Linked DNA regions of Schizosaccharomyces pombe. The protein of the gene in region 2 binds, or shares a complex with, the protein of the main gene of each other region. Each region holds a gene or a part of one and is shown on either strand. Other genes may lie near its edges.

Evidence for each region.
Region 1: dad5 (region 2) and dam1 share a complex: the UniProt entries of both Schizosaccharomyces pombe proteins name them as parts of the DASH complex.
Region 3: dad5 (region 2) and spc34 share a complex: the UniProt entries of both Schizosaccharomyces pombe proteins name them as parts of the DASH complex.

Annotation. Positions count from the first base shown.
Region 1 is NC_003424.3:3,105,691-3,108,875, forward strand, and holds dam1 (DASH complex subunit Dam1), read right to left. Parts: upstream 1,152-3,185; coding exon 684-1,151; 3' UTR 501-683; downstream 1-500. Other genes in the region: WD repeat-containing protein Atg1801, read right to left, coding at 181-218; csr101 (sec14 family protein), read left to right, coding at 1,150-2,316; ubi5 (ubiquitin-40S ribosomal protein S31 fusion protein), read right to left, coding at 2,738-3,185. UniProt on the Schizosaccharomyces pombe protein: Component of the DASH complex that connects microtubules with kinetochores and couples microtubule depolymerisation to chromosome movement; it is involved in retrieving kinetochores to the spindle poles before their re-orientation on the spindle in early mitosis and allows microtubule depolymerization to pull chromosomes apart and resist detachment during anaphase.
Region 2 is NC_003421.2:1,667,634-1,675,702, forward strand, and holds dad5 (DASH complex subunit Dad5), read right to left. Parts: upstream 3,230-8,069; 5' UTR 2,973-3,229; coding exon 2,688-2,972; 3' UTR 2,311-2,687; downstream 1-2,310. Other genes in the region: DNA-binding transcription factor, nutrient sensing, zf-GATA-type Gaf1, read right to left, coding at 1-1,244; SPOM_SPCC417.03 (uncharacterized protein), read left to right, coding at 4,370-4,418, 4,610-4,731; cfh2 (chitin synthase regulatory factor), read right to left, coding at 7,785-8,069. UniProt on the Schizosaccharomyces pombe protein: Component of the DASH complex that connects microtubules with kinetochores and couples microtubule depolymerisation to chromosome movement; it is involved in retrieving kinetochores to the spindle poles before their re-orientation on the spindle in early mitosis and allows microtubule depolymerization to pull chromosomes apart and resist detachment during anaphase.
Region 3 is NC_003424.3:3,673,199-3,676,700, forward strand, and holds spc34 (DASH complex subunit Spc34), read right to left. Parts: upstream 1,697-3,502; 5' UTR 1,597-1,696; coding exon 1,102-1,596; 3' UTR 501-1,101; downstream 1-500. Other genes in the region: ABC family Fe transporter Atm1, read left to right, coding at 2,328-3,502. UniProt on the Schizosaccharomyces pombe protein: Component of the DASH complex that connects microtubules with kinetochores and couples microtubule depolymerisation to chromosome movement; it is involved in retrieving kinetochores to the spindle poles before their re-orientation on the spindle in early mitosis and allows microtubule depolymerization to pull chromosomes apart and resist detachment during anaphase.

The DNA.
Region 1 (3,185 bases), on a different chromosome or scaffold from region 2:
AAGTATTAGTGATGTTGATATCAAAAACAATAAAATAAGTACTTTGAATCCTGGTTAAATCCACAAAATAGTAAGCGAGACATATTCGATACCATTTTCAGCACAATTGGCCGATACGTATATTGTTCTAATGACTGGCTTGAGACAAGTGGAATGACCCGCGGCTATACACTTACATACGCTGCTTTGCCGCGGTACTTCCGAACAAAGAAATGCATTTTGAAGTAAAACGAAAACTAGTTGTATACTTGAAAACAAGTGTAATTGCTCCAATGTTTAAAATTACAAATATAGAATGTGAACAAATTTCGACACTTCAAATAGGTTCAATTAGTGTTACATATTTGAGGTATTGAAAGAGCCACTGAAGTTGTAAATGTGAGTATCGAAAATAGACTACAAATACATATTCATTTTATTGGAAATTGAAGATTGGAGAAGCTATTACATATGAGTTTACTGAACGCTTTCTAGAACTTTTAAAGCAATTGTCTACAGTTCACTTCGCTGAAGAAAAATGTGCATTAAAATGTTAAAAATTGTATATAAATCGTAAAATTGAATGATCATTATGATTCCGTTGTTTCATTATCCAACCTGATATGCTAGGTTATTCCCTTCGACTATTATAATAATAAATGAAAAAGAAAAAACTTCAACCAGTCTCCCTTGCTTAAATAAATTTATCTGGAAGCGGAATAGGTTTCTGGCCGTTCAATGAAAGAAGTGTCATTTGTAGCAAATGTTTCGTCTGCAGTTGCAAAATTGGGATCGTGAGAAATAACACCACCATCGTAGGGAGGGTCAGAAATCGAATGACCAGTACGAGTCATCAGCGTTGCCTTAAATTGGTCTTTCTTAGCTTGGAGTAAAAAACTTTCCGAAAGCGGTGCATTTTCATAATCTACGCAAAAAGCATTGATTTGCAATCCATAAAGAAAAGAAGAAAACGATTCGTTGAAATTGTCGAGTATTTGTTTGGTTGCTGACAGGTGATTCATTCGTTTACGAAATTCACTCACATTATCATCCAAAACAGCCAGTGACTTAGTAAAGGCTTGGAGATTCGAAGGGATTGCATTCTCACTTTCTATTTTCACATTATCAACATTTTCTAAAGGATTTTGAGTAGCTTTCTGGTATTTCTCCATGTTTTCGCGACTTTGGGTGAGATGTAGATGTTCTACAGCGCTTTCGGCAGCAGCAGCAGGAACATTTTTCTTCCGACGTTCTCAAAAACAGCCTGAGCCTGAGACTGTAGACGAAAAAGTGAGCTTTGAAAGTTATTCACCTTTAAAGTTGATGATTCAAAAGACATGGCCTAGGTTTCAAGAGCATAAAGAATATCGCGAATCGTTCATACGATTAGCAAAATGCGACTCACCCGACGCTATCTTAGTACGATTTTTGGCTTCTTGCAATAACGATTCACATGAAGCAAGTCAAAAGTTAATCAATACGCTACAATGGCGCGTAGATACAGGTGTTGAGCGTATCGTTGAGCGGGGTGAGCTTTATGCCAAAGAGACAAATGATGATCAGTTCTTGGAACAATTGAGAACTGGAAAGGTAACTATGTTGGGAAGGGACTTATCTGATCGCCCTATCTGCTATATTCAAGTCCATTTACATCAACCCTCAAAATTGACTCAGAATTCTCTTCGTGAGATGACCGTGTGGGTAATGGAAACTATGCGACTTTTTCTGCGACCACAAAAGACTTTGAAGGACTCTATGGACTCTCCTCAAAATGTGAATGTTCTGTTCGACCTTAGTAACTTTTCTCTACATAATATGGATTATTCTTTCGTTAAGTATTTGGCATCGTGTTTGGAGTATTATTACCCACAATCTCTTGGTGTTTGTATTCTTCATAAATCTCCTTGGATTTTCAGAAGTGTTTGGAACATTATTAAGGGATGGATTAAACCAGAGATTGCTGCGAAAATTGTTTTTACTCAGAGCGCAAACGACCTCGAAAAATACATAGACTATTCGGTAATTCCTACTTCTTTAGGAGGAGGCAACAAAAAGATATTCCAATACATAGAGCCAGTAGAGCATGAGAATGATGCAGTCATCGAAGATAGCGCTGAAAAGACTGCAGCACTTGCTCGCTATTATGCGTATTTCAGTGAATGGGAGCAGCACTCTTTAAATTGGGCCAAGCTAGATGATGATGATGCTCAAAATGAAAAAGTCCGCTTATGCTGCGATGCTGCAGGTACCAACTTTGCCAACTGCTATTGGAATGTTGACAAATATATACGAGCGAGAACCGTTTACGACCGACTGAAATGGATTGGTAATGTTTAAATTTACTCAATCTAAACGCTATGTTTTACGACTCAATTCTTTTTATTCTTTTATTAATAAAAGAATGCATCTTCCTATATTTACTACCTTTTACTAAAAACTTGAGTTTAGATCTAATGTCCTCGAAATACTCATGATTCCTCAATGGCGTTTTCAATAATCGCGTTTGCGCATATAAAAACTGTTGAAAATTCCACCAATCATTCAACCGTAGCTTGCTTGTTTAGTTTGGCTTATGTTTAGATTATTTATTTAAAAAAATCATCATGGGACTACTAGAAATATAATACAAATGAAATGTTTTCATAACCATTTACAATATAAGTATTTTCAATTCAATATAGCACATTACAATGAGCAATATAGATATATTACAAAATATCACTTAAAAAAGTGTTAATTTATTTTATCGCAAACTCATTTAAGCTTCCAATTTGAGGGTCAAGTGGCATCTACCACAGTAAAGGCGGTCCTTGTGGTTGGCCATGAAGGTGGATGCACCACAGTTAGGACACTCACGACGAAGACGCTTAACGCTTCCATCATCCTCAACCTTGTAGTACTTGAGGACGGCGAGCTCAACCTTCTTGTGCTTGTGCTTGATCTTCTTGGGAGTAGTGTAAGTCTTCTTTTTACGCTTCTTACCACCACCACGAAGACGCAAAACGAGGTGAAGAGTGGACTCCTTTTGGATGTTGTAATCAGACAAAGTACGTCCATCTTCTAACTGCTTACCAGCGAAAATAAGACGTTGTTGATCAGGAGGAATTCCTTCTTTGTCTTGGATTTTGCTCTTGACATTATCAATAGTGTCAGAGGACTCCACCTCAAGGGTAATCGTCTTACCCGTAAGGGTTTTGACGAAAATT
Region 2 (8,069 bases):
TTCGAGTTCGGTACAGGGGCCGAGATAGGTAGCGAACTAACCATATTGATAGATGGCATACTGACATATGATCCTGGTGACTGGATTAATGGCGACGAAACTTCATGATTGTTTCTAGAGACATCAAAGATATTATTTCCCGAAACATCGGGAAAAAATGATTGATTAGGTGTGACACCAGAACTTAAAGGTGATGAAATTCCAAAAAGCCCTTGGCTATTATAGGATGAGCTGAAGCCATCTTCTGATGCAGTATTAGCATGATATGAGGTGGAAGGAACACTGCCTGGAATGGGAAATCCAGCAGAGCCATGCTCAAAACTAAAGGAGTTGGTGGCGGAAGAAGGAAAAAGAGTTTGTTCATGAGTATTGGCGTCAACAAATGAGGGAAAGCCTCCATTTTCTGGAAATGATGAAGGTTCTGATGGAGTCATATCAAAGTCCAATCCCAAAACATCCGTATCTGCATGCTTTGGAGAAGCTTTGATACGCTGATTAGGAGAAGCAGAATTATTAGAATTAGCGGGAATGGAAGGGGGAGCATTAGGCAAATTGTGAGAATGAACACTAAAAAAGTCAGAAGGAGGAGATATAGGCAATGCTGAGGCGTCAAGATTAGAAAAATTAGAGCTGTCAATGTCTCTCTTAACGAAATTAAAAGAATTAGAAGCATGAATCTTTGGGTAGCTAAATGGTTGGGATTCCAAATCATGGGGTCTTTGCATAGCATTGGGATCTGGAAAATGAGAATCGGCAATAGAGCGCTTTTTACTTTTTGCAGTAGACTCGTCAAAGCTTGTTTTACGCACGCGACGCTGAATATAATTAAATTCCATCAACGAGCTTCCAGTGGTATCAGCAGGTACGCTATATGCAGGTATTGGGTTTAATTTCATTTCAGTATCTGAGTTATCGGCAGTGGTTTCAGCAGAAGAAGTAGGAGGAACGGATTGAGCACTAGAAGGGGCAGTGGGATCAGAGAAAGTGTCTGGGGTTAAAGTATTTGAATCACCATTTGGTGTTAAGTTCTTTTGCAAATTTATAGACATTAAACGCCATGTCAAGTTCTCGACACGACGACCATTAGACAGTTCCGACTTTGCCTTGGAAAACATTTTCCAGAGGTCTGACATCGTGGAATAATCTTCTTTGGAGGAAGATTCGTCCGTGGTAGATTTGTCAAATTTTTTGACAAGTGCTGGATGTTCCGCTTCCTTGAAAAAATTGGAAAACTTTAGATCCATAAGTAAGGTTTTATGCAAAAAATGTTTAATCACAAAGCAGGGATATATCCAAAAATGATACCCAAAAAATCAGTAACTTCAGCCAGCTTGAAATGTGGATAAGAAAGAAAAAGGGAAGTTTCCGAATAAAAAACCGAAACAAAAAATAAACGAATGAAATGAACGAAAGAGATCGCCTCTCAAACGTTAAACAAAAAAAAAGTTGTAGTAAAAAATCACAAAAAAATAATAATATAAGGTAAGATATAAAAAAACAGGAAATCTTAAGCTAGGACCAAGAAAGCTTCTTTAAATGGAAAACACGAAATGGCAGTGAATACCAAGACACACCAACAACGTTGTTTAGTTAGGTACTACTTTGAAATGATTGTGCAAACCACACGAGCGAAGGTAAAAATAGCAAGAAGTTCAAGTTGCTTTGATATGAACAGGTACTTTAAACAAAAAAGACGTGAACCCCAAAACAAAAACGATCTAAAAAGGGGAAATAAAACAACAAAAACGAACTAAAATACCAAAACAAATATAGAAAAATAAAACAGATATAAGCTAGAATACAATCCAGAGGTGTGGTGGAACAAAAAAAAGTAATTTGTAGACAGATTGGGGAATGGTGGCGCTATGGCTTCCTCAAATCAAATTTCCGTTTTCCCTGGAAGAGAGCAAAAAAAGAAGAAACTGCAAAAGAAAACAGATATTTATTGATTAGGTATGTAATAAGGAGGAGCCAAAGCTTAAAGAAATCAATTTACAAAATCGTTTGAAACGTTTAAAATTAGTACAACCTGCTTTTCTTTTTTCGTTGAGGTTGGCAAAGGGACGGCGTTGTTCACACCCATCTAAGCGAGGTCGAAGAAGCTCTCTTCGGTAAATCGTAAGGTGAAAATAAAGAAGCCTAACGAAAGGAACCACTTTTACCTTTTTTTAGCTAGCTATCCAATGATTGTGCGCTATCTCAAATAAAAACCATATGATTGGTACACTGACTGTTTTGTGAAGCGCAATTGACCAATCATTTCTGGTATCCAATTTTTGCAGTTTCCCTTGGTTACTTAGCCGACCGAGCTGACCAATGAACGAGATCACTTATTAGACGAACTAGAACACCCTCTTTTAGCCTGCTATTTTTTACAGAACTGCATCGTACAATGCAGTAACATAGGTTTCGGGAGTGCAGCCCGAGAGTCGCAAAACTCCCATAGCGTAAAATGCCGAAAAGCCGTATTCCGGATGCATAGTTGATACAACTCCAACACCCACATATTGAAAGAAGCCCCAAATACCGCATTGTTGCAGTAAAATAAGAAATAGCCCCATCTAATTAAGAAAGAGCACATTCCTACTTCCTTTCCTGTTATATTTCTCCTTCATTGGGGCACTTTGTCTCTTGTATTCTCCTTTTTATCATTGTCATTTGAGGTCTGCATCAAAAAAGTTGGAGACTCACATAGGAACGTCTTCTTCCACAGCATCTGAAGACTTTTGAATCCTCGCTTCGGACATAACGCGACCAGACGCCATCAGAAGCGAGGCCTGAAGAGCACCAAGACGTCGGATGGCTTCTGCTTGAATTGCGGTAACATGTAAGTGGTTTTCCAAATGAGACATGTTGGATTGCAACTTGGACAGTTGGTCCACCAAACGATTCATTTGAAAGCTTTTCATTTGACTGGGAGATGGAGATGAACTGCTTGTTCGACTAGTTGGCACAATGGTAGAACGACGCATGGTGTAAGGTGAAAGTGAAAGAAGGCAGACAGGTAGATGGAAGGTAAACAAACCAAACGCGTGTGTGATGGGCGAGTGCAGCTTTTAAGACACCGCACTAAAATGCAATCAACCTTCAGTATCGACAATTAAAGGAGACCATTACCCACTTGAGTGGTATTTCAATTTAACAAATTGCAGCGATTTCCAACAATACCGGCCGACGTTAGTATTCCTCAAAAATGAATAAGAGCGTAAAATAGCGTGGAAAGAGTGGCAGAAAAAGGCGACCAGCGCAGCGCACCTATCTTTTATGTAGCTGACAAGAAGGAAAAGGGGGACGGTAAATTTTTCGCTTACTGATAAAAAACCAAACTTTCGTTATATGGTTTAGCGAGACATAATTTCCAAGCTAATAAGTAATACCGAAATCGTTCCTTTTGCTAAATTTTTCGGGTCAGTTCCGTGGAAATAGGCAAAATTATTGGTAAGGATGGAATTATCAAGTTTTGCATAATTTCCATGGAAGTGTAGAAGGAGGATGAAGACGGAACTGATGAAAAGTGCTCCAAAGCTCCGATCACAATCATGTTGGATGAGGTGCTTTGTCCAAATCAAAGGAAATAAAAATTCTCCGTAAGCTCGACATGCTAGGCATCTTATGAGGAAGATAGGCAAATGAGTATTTTAAAGGAAAAAAGAAATGGAAAGAGCACGATCGTTAGACAAATTACATACGGAAGTCAATGTCCGTGCAAGAGAAGACGCAGCAGCGTGATGTGCATCCGTTGTTTTAATTATTGTTTGAATTTTCAAACTTTACTCAACTACGATCGGAAAACCTTTTTTTTTAATAAACTACTTGTCTTAATATCCTCGGGTTTTATTCAGTTTCAAAAGCATCGAGATTTCACTACACTGGGGTTTATCTTTTAGGTCCCCCACATCTATCATTTCACAGAGTTCCATTTCATATCGACGCTAGGATGGGGTTTGACATATAGTCTTCTTATATGTGAAAACATATAGCTTTTCTAATCAGGTTTTGTTTTTTCGTTTCAGATATATCGGAAGTGAGTTGACCGAACAATGGATTTTATCTTAGCATGGACAAATGTATCAATTCCCTGGAAATGATTCTCTTGGAAACAAAAGAAAGGAAACAGGGATACACAAACCAGTCGAGACAAATAAAATCCAACAGGAAAATTGCTTGGTGTAAGGAAATCGTCATAGAATGCTTTATGGGAGTTTGGGAAGTATTTGTAATATTTACATTTTTTTTCTACTTTTTTTTTTTTTAATTTTTTTAGTTAATGTTTGGCTATTTTCAAAGGAGGAATTCCTGAGTTAGATGAAAATTAGTTTTTAATTTGTTTCTTTTTTTTTATATAATCAAGTTGGTTCATTTAGTAACCATGCTTCCTCATACCGCTTTTTCTAATCATATTCATTACCATTTTATAAGTAATTTTTTCAAACATTCACTCATCCCTTTCTAATCATATACCCCATTTTTATTATAGTTTCTTTCATGAAAATGAATGACTCCTACACTCCATACACATACATCGTTTCGTTTCACAATTTTGTACGCTTCCCCATAAAACAAAGAAATACTTCCATTCACCACGCCCCTAACAAAAGAAAAAGAAAAGATGAAGCCCCTTTCCGTCTATGTATATATACCCTTTTTCATGCTCACACGTGTTTTTCCTGCGGTTTATCATTATCGCTTATGGAAGTGATAATGGATATCTCCCAGTTGCTTATTTCCTAAATCACTCATTTCTTATCCTTATTGCGCTAAAAATGATAACAGTCGCATATTTTCCTCGTCCCTGCTAATTTACGAAGAGTTGATTACTTCATTCCAAGAAAGACGTAGGAAGACGTAGGAATGTCAAATTGCGATCCTATTTTCCCAACTCATCTCGCTTTCACTTGGCGTTGTTGGCATTCCTTTGATTATGACGGACATTTACATCCGTAATAGATGATTGCATGTAAACGAATTTTGTGCTTTGTCAAAGTGCAAAAAAGAGCTACCGATAAACGGAGGACCGATTGTGTTGAACAACTGCACTGACTAACACAAATTTATCAATGGAAAAAAGGTATACGTCGGCGATGCTCTGATAACTAAATGAAGGCTTTTTTTTTTCCTTTTGCGACTCGCCTGCCGCCGCACACTTACTCATGTTGATAGCTCAAACAAATCAAAATACTAACTTTAACGCCGACAATGCTCCACTTGCATCTTGTCTATCTTGGCGATTATGGTTACCTCAAACACATACCGTCTTTTACCACTTATCACTAACAACTTTGTGGAGCGGATTTTCATCCTACCTTGATAATCATCTACCCTCGCACCAGTACCGCAGTATTTCTTGATAATGAGAACGGATGCAGACTAGATGGGGCAGTAGTAAAAGAGCTCGCAAAAGAAACATGAAATTTCATAAACAAATGCTGACGAAAGTATATGAATGAAACTAACATTAACACAAATATGAAATTGAGATTTGAGTCAAACCCAATAATTAAATCCAAACTTTACATGAAACTGACTAGTACCAAAAATGATCAAAACCATACAAATACAGTCTACCCACTTTGGCTGAGAAATCGCCTATCAAACATGACTTGCTTAGTTGGCCCAGTCTATTACATTCCTCGACATATCCGTATACAAGGAAGATGATGATGGAGGAACACTTGATAACATGATTAATAAAAGTCTTTCGAAATCTAAAGCATTCCATTTGTTATCGAGCAAAAGAATAGAGGTAAAAAAAAGTTTTTGTTGTTCATCAGAAGGACCTTTATTTTATTTTTTTTTTGGGTCTTTGACTTTTTCTATTGAGGTATCCATACTAAAAGAAACATTAGAGAAGCCTTTGCAAATCATCACTTTTCTCTTCTTCTCTTTTCTTACTTCGTTTAACGATCTTCCATACGTTTTGTCTTTCTCAGCACCTGAATGCGTAAAAAATGAAATTTTTAAAATCCCACCCCCGTTAAACGAACATTTTTCATTCCCTGTCAAATGTTGTGCTTATCAATTCATTTTGCGTAATCGATTTCTCCTCATTTGGTGTAATTCAGAAACAATCCATCTTACTTATCTGATAGATACCGTGGTAATTGAATCATCCACTTTCTGGTGTACAGGATCACTGATATACATTTTGCCGCAGCCCGACGTTTTTATCTATCAGGGCTCGGGATCCCTACGACCCTCGATAATTGACTATCCACGTGAGTAATTTAGCCTACATTAGTGCCCCGAGGCATTGCACAGATGCGAGATGTCCTATTGTACTCCGAGAAAAGGCCCCTTTCAAATTTTCTTCTTTGCGCTTCTTTCTACTGGGATCTATCCAGTTCGCCGCGGACTTGATATGGAAGTAAAAGCATTTTATGCAAACGACCAAAATACCAACTTGATTATCCTTTCTTAGTTTTGTTATTTGTATAGATGAAATGAGTGCTATCCACTACGACAACATTCAACAAGTCATCGTAGCACAAAAATACATTCTCCAATACTACCTATATAGCATGGGCAAAGAAGGTACGACGGAATGAAGGTGAATAACGAAGCGACTTTTCAAATCTTTAAAAGAGTTTACAGAAAGTTCGAAATAGTACCTAGATGTCTGCAATGTTTTTTACCATTTTTTTCGTTAAAATACTTTTGCGTTAAACAGATATCTAAGTGCGTAAAAGTATTTTGATCATCCCTTCGTATTGTGTTATATTCGTTGCGTTTTCTGGAAAAAGTTATTAAGTGCTTCGTTATTCAAAGAGGGTCTGTGGCTTTTTTTTTCTTTCAGAAAAACTAATACACTAATGTATATAACGATATGTATGATTCCTTTGGTAATCCAGAAAAGGATGTAAATTCACAACTTGAATGTTTGGTATGAAAGGATGAATGTGGCTGTCTAATAATAAGCTGTTTATTTTTTTTAAAAAATAATATCTAATTAACTTCGAGTTGTCAATTGAAATGGCTTCTGCAAGTCTTTTTTTTTTTTTTTTTTTTATACCTAAAGGCCTTTTTCAAGTTTACTGATTTGCGACCAATACCTTAATACTACATTTGCTCCGTCAAAAAGTTTGTATGAACTAATTTTCTCATTACCAGCCACACCATAAATCTCGAGAATGTACAGTAAAAAAGCACAATGGCTAGTGTCTGCTGAAAGTTCCAGGACCTAATGAAACTCCAATGTGCATGGACCTATAATTAAAAAATCGGAATTAAAGCTAATCAACATAAAATCCTTTATACTGTTAAAGTTTTTATATTTTCATCCTTCTACAATCTCGATGCTCCCCTTAAATTACAGCATAACAGGAAAAATCGATTTTCTCACAAAAAAGACATCCTACTGTGCAAATCACAACGAAGTATGGAGAAAAAAGAAAATAAATTAATTACGAAAAGATTAAATAAAAAAAATGAAAATATTTGTTTCTCCCAGCAATTCATATACGCTTAAGGAATGTCCTCATGAACAATATTAAATCCATCAAATAATAAAAAGGGGTATGTAATAACATAAGTTTGATATTAGGCAGCATAAACCATAGAAAAGCTTCAAAATGATTTCTAGGAATAGGGGTTTAAGGTATTTCATACATTTTTTGGGAATAAAACCATTAAATCAAGGAAATAAAGCATGTCCAATAATATGATACATTTTCATCCAACACTAAATGGCTTACCAAATAAATAGAGGATGACAATAAAAAACAGAAGTAAAAAAGTAACAGACAATAACAGAAAGAACATTGTTTGAGTTAAAATTGAAACACTTTTTACGATATAATGCATGATTCTCTGTTTTTAGAACGCTTGAAAGAAAGCATACTCAATCGTTTCTTCTTCTTAGGCAGACTTTCACTGTTTCGAGACTTCCTCTCCTCGTTACTGATGGTGATGGAAGTCTTCTCAAAAACATCTTCTTTTCCAACGTCTTGCACAAAGGTAGACGCTAGATGATGATTCTTGTAAGCTGCCGCTTTCGCCCATTCGTTAGCAAGCTCGGGATTGGGATAGATGACATCGTCAACTCCATTCAAATAAAACTGGGAAAGTTTCCA
Region 3 (3,502 bases), on a different chromosome or scaffold from region 2:
AATAAATAATTGTGAATACAATAACAAACACTGAAATAAACAACAGTAAGTGTATTCTTTAATTTTCCAAAGAAGAAGTTTTTCTTAATAAAGGTATTCTTATTGATCCTTTTTTATTGTTTTTTTTGAGAAATCGAGTAAATAATTTTTTTGGCGTAATGTGTGATTGTTAAGGTGGAGCAGCAGCCTTGGTATTAGCAATTAAAACATTCGTTCAAATTCTATCATTCAGTAACAACAAAAAATAATTATAGTTGACGAGTCAATAGAAACACTATGAACCTGACTTTTACTCTATATTAATAATCAAATATAGAATAAATACATAGTGTTCCATTACTTGCTATCATACTATGCTATTGAACTTTTATTTATATCTTAAATAAAATCTTTTAGAACTTTTAAGAACAAGTATGTACTTATGTTTGTATAAATATTAAGAACTCATTACAACAAATGAGTCCAATGCAAAAGCTGGCGTTGAGCCAGTAATCTAATTGCCGTCTTTAACTTATCATGAACATTATTGTATTTTTCACATACTATTCTATAAATGAGAATATTACAAAAACAATGAGTTATTATGCTCCTGAGTTGTAATGTACTTAGTTTGCTAATTATCTTCGTTCAATATCTTTGCCGCTTTAGAGAATTCCTGGAGCAAACAGTCCAAAGATTCTCTTCTCTTCTCTTTATGTTTTTCATATTCTAGGTATTCATAATCCTCTAGCTCTTTTGTAGCCTTCAAAGTAACAGTAGACGAACTTGCTTTTTTCTTAGCAAGCGACATTTCAATATGCTTTTTAAAGGATGATATATCAAAACATCGACTTCTTTTTTTCCTCTTCAGCTTCATCAGTTTGTATTGGGAGTAAGCCGATCGATCATCTGACGTCGAAGGATAACTGCAATCAGAAATATCTCGGGTGCTTCTTTGAGGATGTAACTTCAAAGGAATGAGTCCATGGTCTTTTATATCCTCGCTTAAATACATTTCTTGTTCTTTGCTCAAATCCATGATAAAACAACGACCTCGCTTCTCCTTTTCTAAATGTTCACCAATACGAAAAGTCGATCTGACTACCAACGCAAATAGCCTTCCTAAGATTGTATCAGTTGCTTCACTTTTTCAATTTCTCTTTCAAGTCTTTGGATTTCAGAAGTTTCACGCTGTAGAATATTCTCCCTAGCAGACACCTGATCGGTTTGTCGTTTTTCAAGTTGCTGCAATTGCTCTTTCTGTTCCAGTAAAACGTTTTCCAAATTCTCAATTCCTGACATATGTAAGTTGTATTTCTCAACCAGAGTCTCCAAATATTCACGGCCACCTTGCATAGGATATATATCTAGTAGTTCCTCAATACAAGCAACGTAGTCTGCAGGGTTTTCTGATGCCAACCTTTCACTCCAATCCTTCGGTAGAGATTTGAACTCAGCTGCAATTAGTTCTTCCTTCTGAGTATCGCGAATTAAATCAGTTATAGCATGAGTATGTAGCACCGCGTCTGTGAAACGTGCTGCGTTTGGGTTTTCCGGTTCCAAAAGTTTTTCTGATGTAGCAGCAATAGACTGTAAATAATTCAACAAATCAGACATTTATTTAATAAGTCATCAAAAACACTAATTCGACTCGTAATTAGTAAAAGGTATGTTTCAATTCACTTTACCAGAGTTGCCAAAAGTGTATGCAATCTCTGGGTGTGTGCAGGTGGTTTAACCAAAACGTAATAAACGTTTGGTATCTTTGATATAATGGAAATCACCTGTGCCTGTTTTTGAAATTCTGTTCTCGCTCAGCAAATTATTTTAACAAAGGTAAAGCATTGCGTTCATTCCTTGCTATTTTCCTTTATTTGCTACACCGAATCATTCTTACGTTTACGCTTTAGGCACACATTTCTTCAGCTCAGATTATCCATTAATAATTATATGTAAAACTTTTATAAAGGTTAATACACGCTAAAAATTTCGTAATCCTCAGTGCAGTTTTGATGAGTTTGCAATTGTTGGACTCTACTTCGCAATCGTGATCTAATCAAAATCTACAACTTTCTAAGTCTGCCAGATTTATAGAACTAAAGGTTTGAGAATTATCCTTCTCTTAGTTCTTTTATTCATATATACCATCTATTAAAAAGTTGCCTCTTTGGAGGCTATTTGAGGTTTTTCTGACTGAACGTTTCGTCTGTTTTTCATATTCTATCAGCCAAGTTTATTCTATTTAAATATAGATTTAAAAACTTTAATTATCTTAAATAGAAGAGCAGTATATTGGGTATAACTAACAGCTTGAAGCTCTGACATCTTAAAGTGTTGTATTAATAAAAATGCTAGAACGATGTCCCTGGAAATTAATCAGCTCGCCAAGAAATATTCCAGCTCGCTCTTTTCTTAATTCTCGTGGAACTTATCTTGTTTTAAGAAAGTCAAATATATTACCTCTTCAACATATACTGCGGTTTTCCAATTTTGCATCTAAGCAATGTTTCCCACTTAGAAATGGAAATAATTCGGCTTCAAAAGCGTTATGGAATAACAAATCAAAAGAAAAAGAGCCACTGAATACTTCTGTTAAACTTGCTTCCGATGTACCAGATGATAAAAATGTAACAGGACAAATGATTGTTAAGGACATGCTTCAATATATTTGGCCCAAGGGGAAGACTAATTTGAAAGTTAGAGTTGTTTCGGCTCTCGCACTACTTGTAGCTGCCAAAATTCTTAACGTCCAAGTTCCTTTTTACTTTAAATCAATTATCGATACCATGAATACAACACTTGTTCAAGAAGTAGGAGCATTGTGGTCTACTGTAGGAGCTGTTGTTCTCGGTTATGGCTTTGCTAGAATATTTTCTACCGTTTTTCAAGAGTTAAGGAATAGCGTTTTTGCAATTGTGTCGCAAAGCGCTATTCGAAGTGTTTCTAGCAATGTCTATCAACATCTGTTGAACCTTGACATGAATTTTCATCTCTCAAAGCAAACAGGAAGTATTACTAGAGCAATGGATCGTGGTACAAAAGGTATTAGTTTCATTCTTTCCTCCATGGTGTTACACATCATTCCTATTACCCTTGAAATTGCTATGGTGAGTGGTATTCTCACTTACAAGTACGGACCTTCGTTTTCGGCCATTGCTGCTACAACCGTTGCTCTTTATGCTCTTTTTACTGTTAGGACGACATCCTGGAGAACTGTATTCCGTCGTCAAGCAAATGCTGCTGACAGTAAAGCATCAGCCGCGGCAATTGAATCTCTGATTAATTATGAAGCCGTTAAAACTTTTAATAACGAATCATACGAAATGAGCAGATATGAAAAGCATCTTTCCGCCTACGAAAAAGCCAACGTTAAGGTAGCATCTTCTTTGGCCTTTTTGAATTCAGGACAGGCTATTATATTCTCTACCGCTCTTACTTTGATGATGTACATGGGTTGTCGTGGAATTGTAACTTCCAACCTTACTGTAGGTGACCTTGTCATGATTAACCAATTAGTATTTCA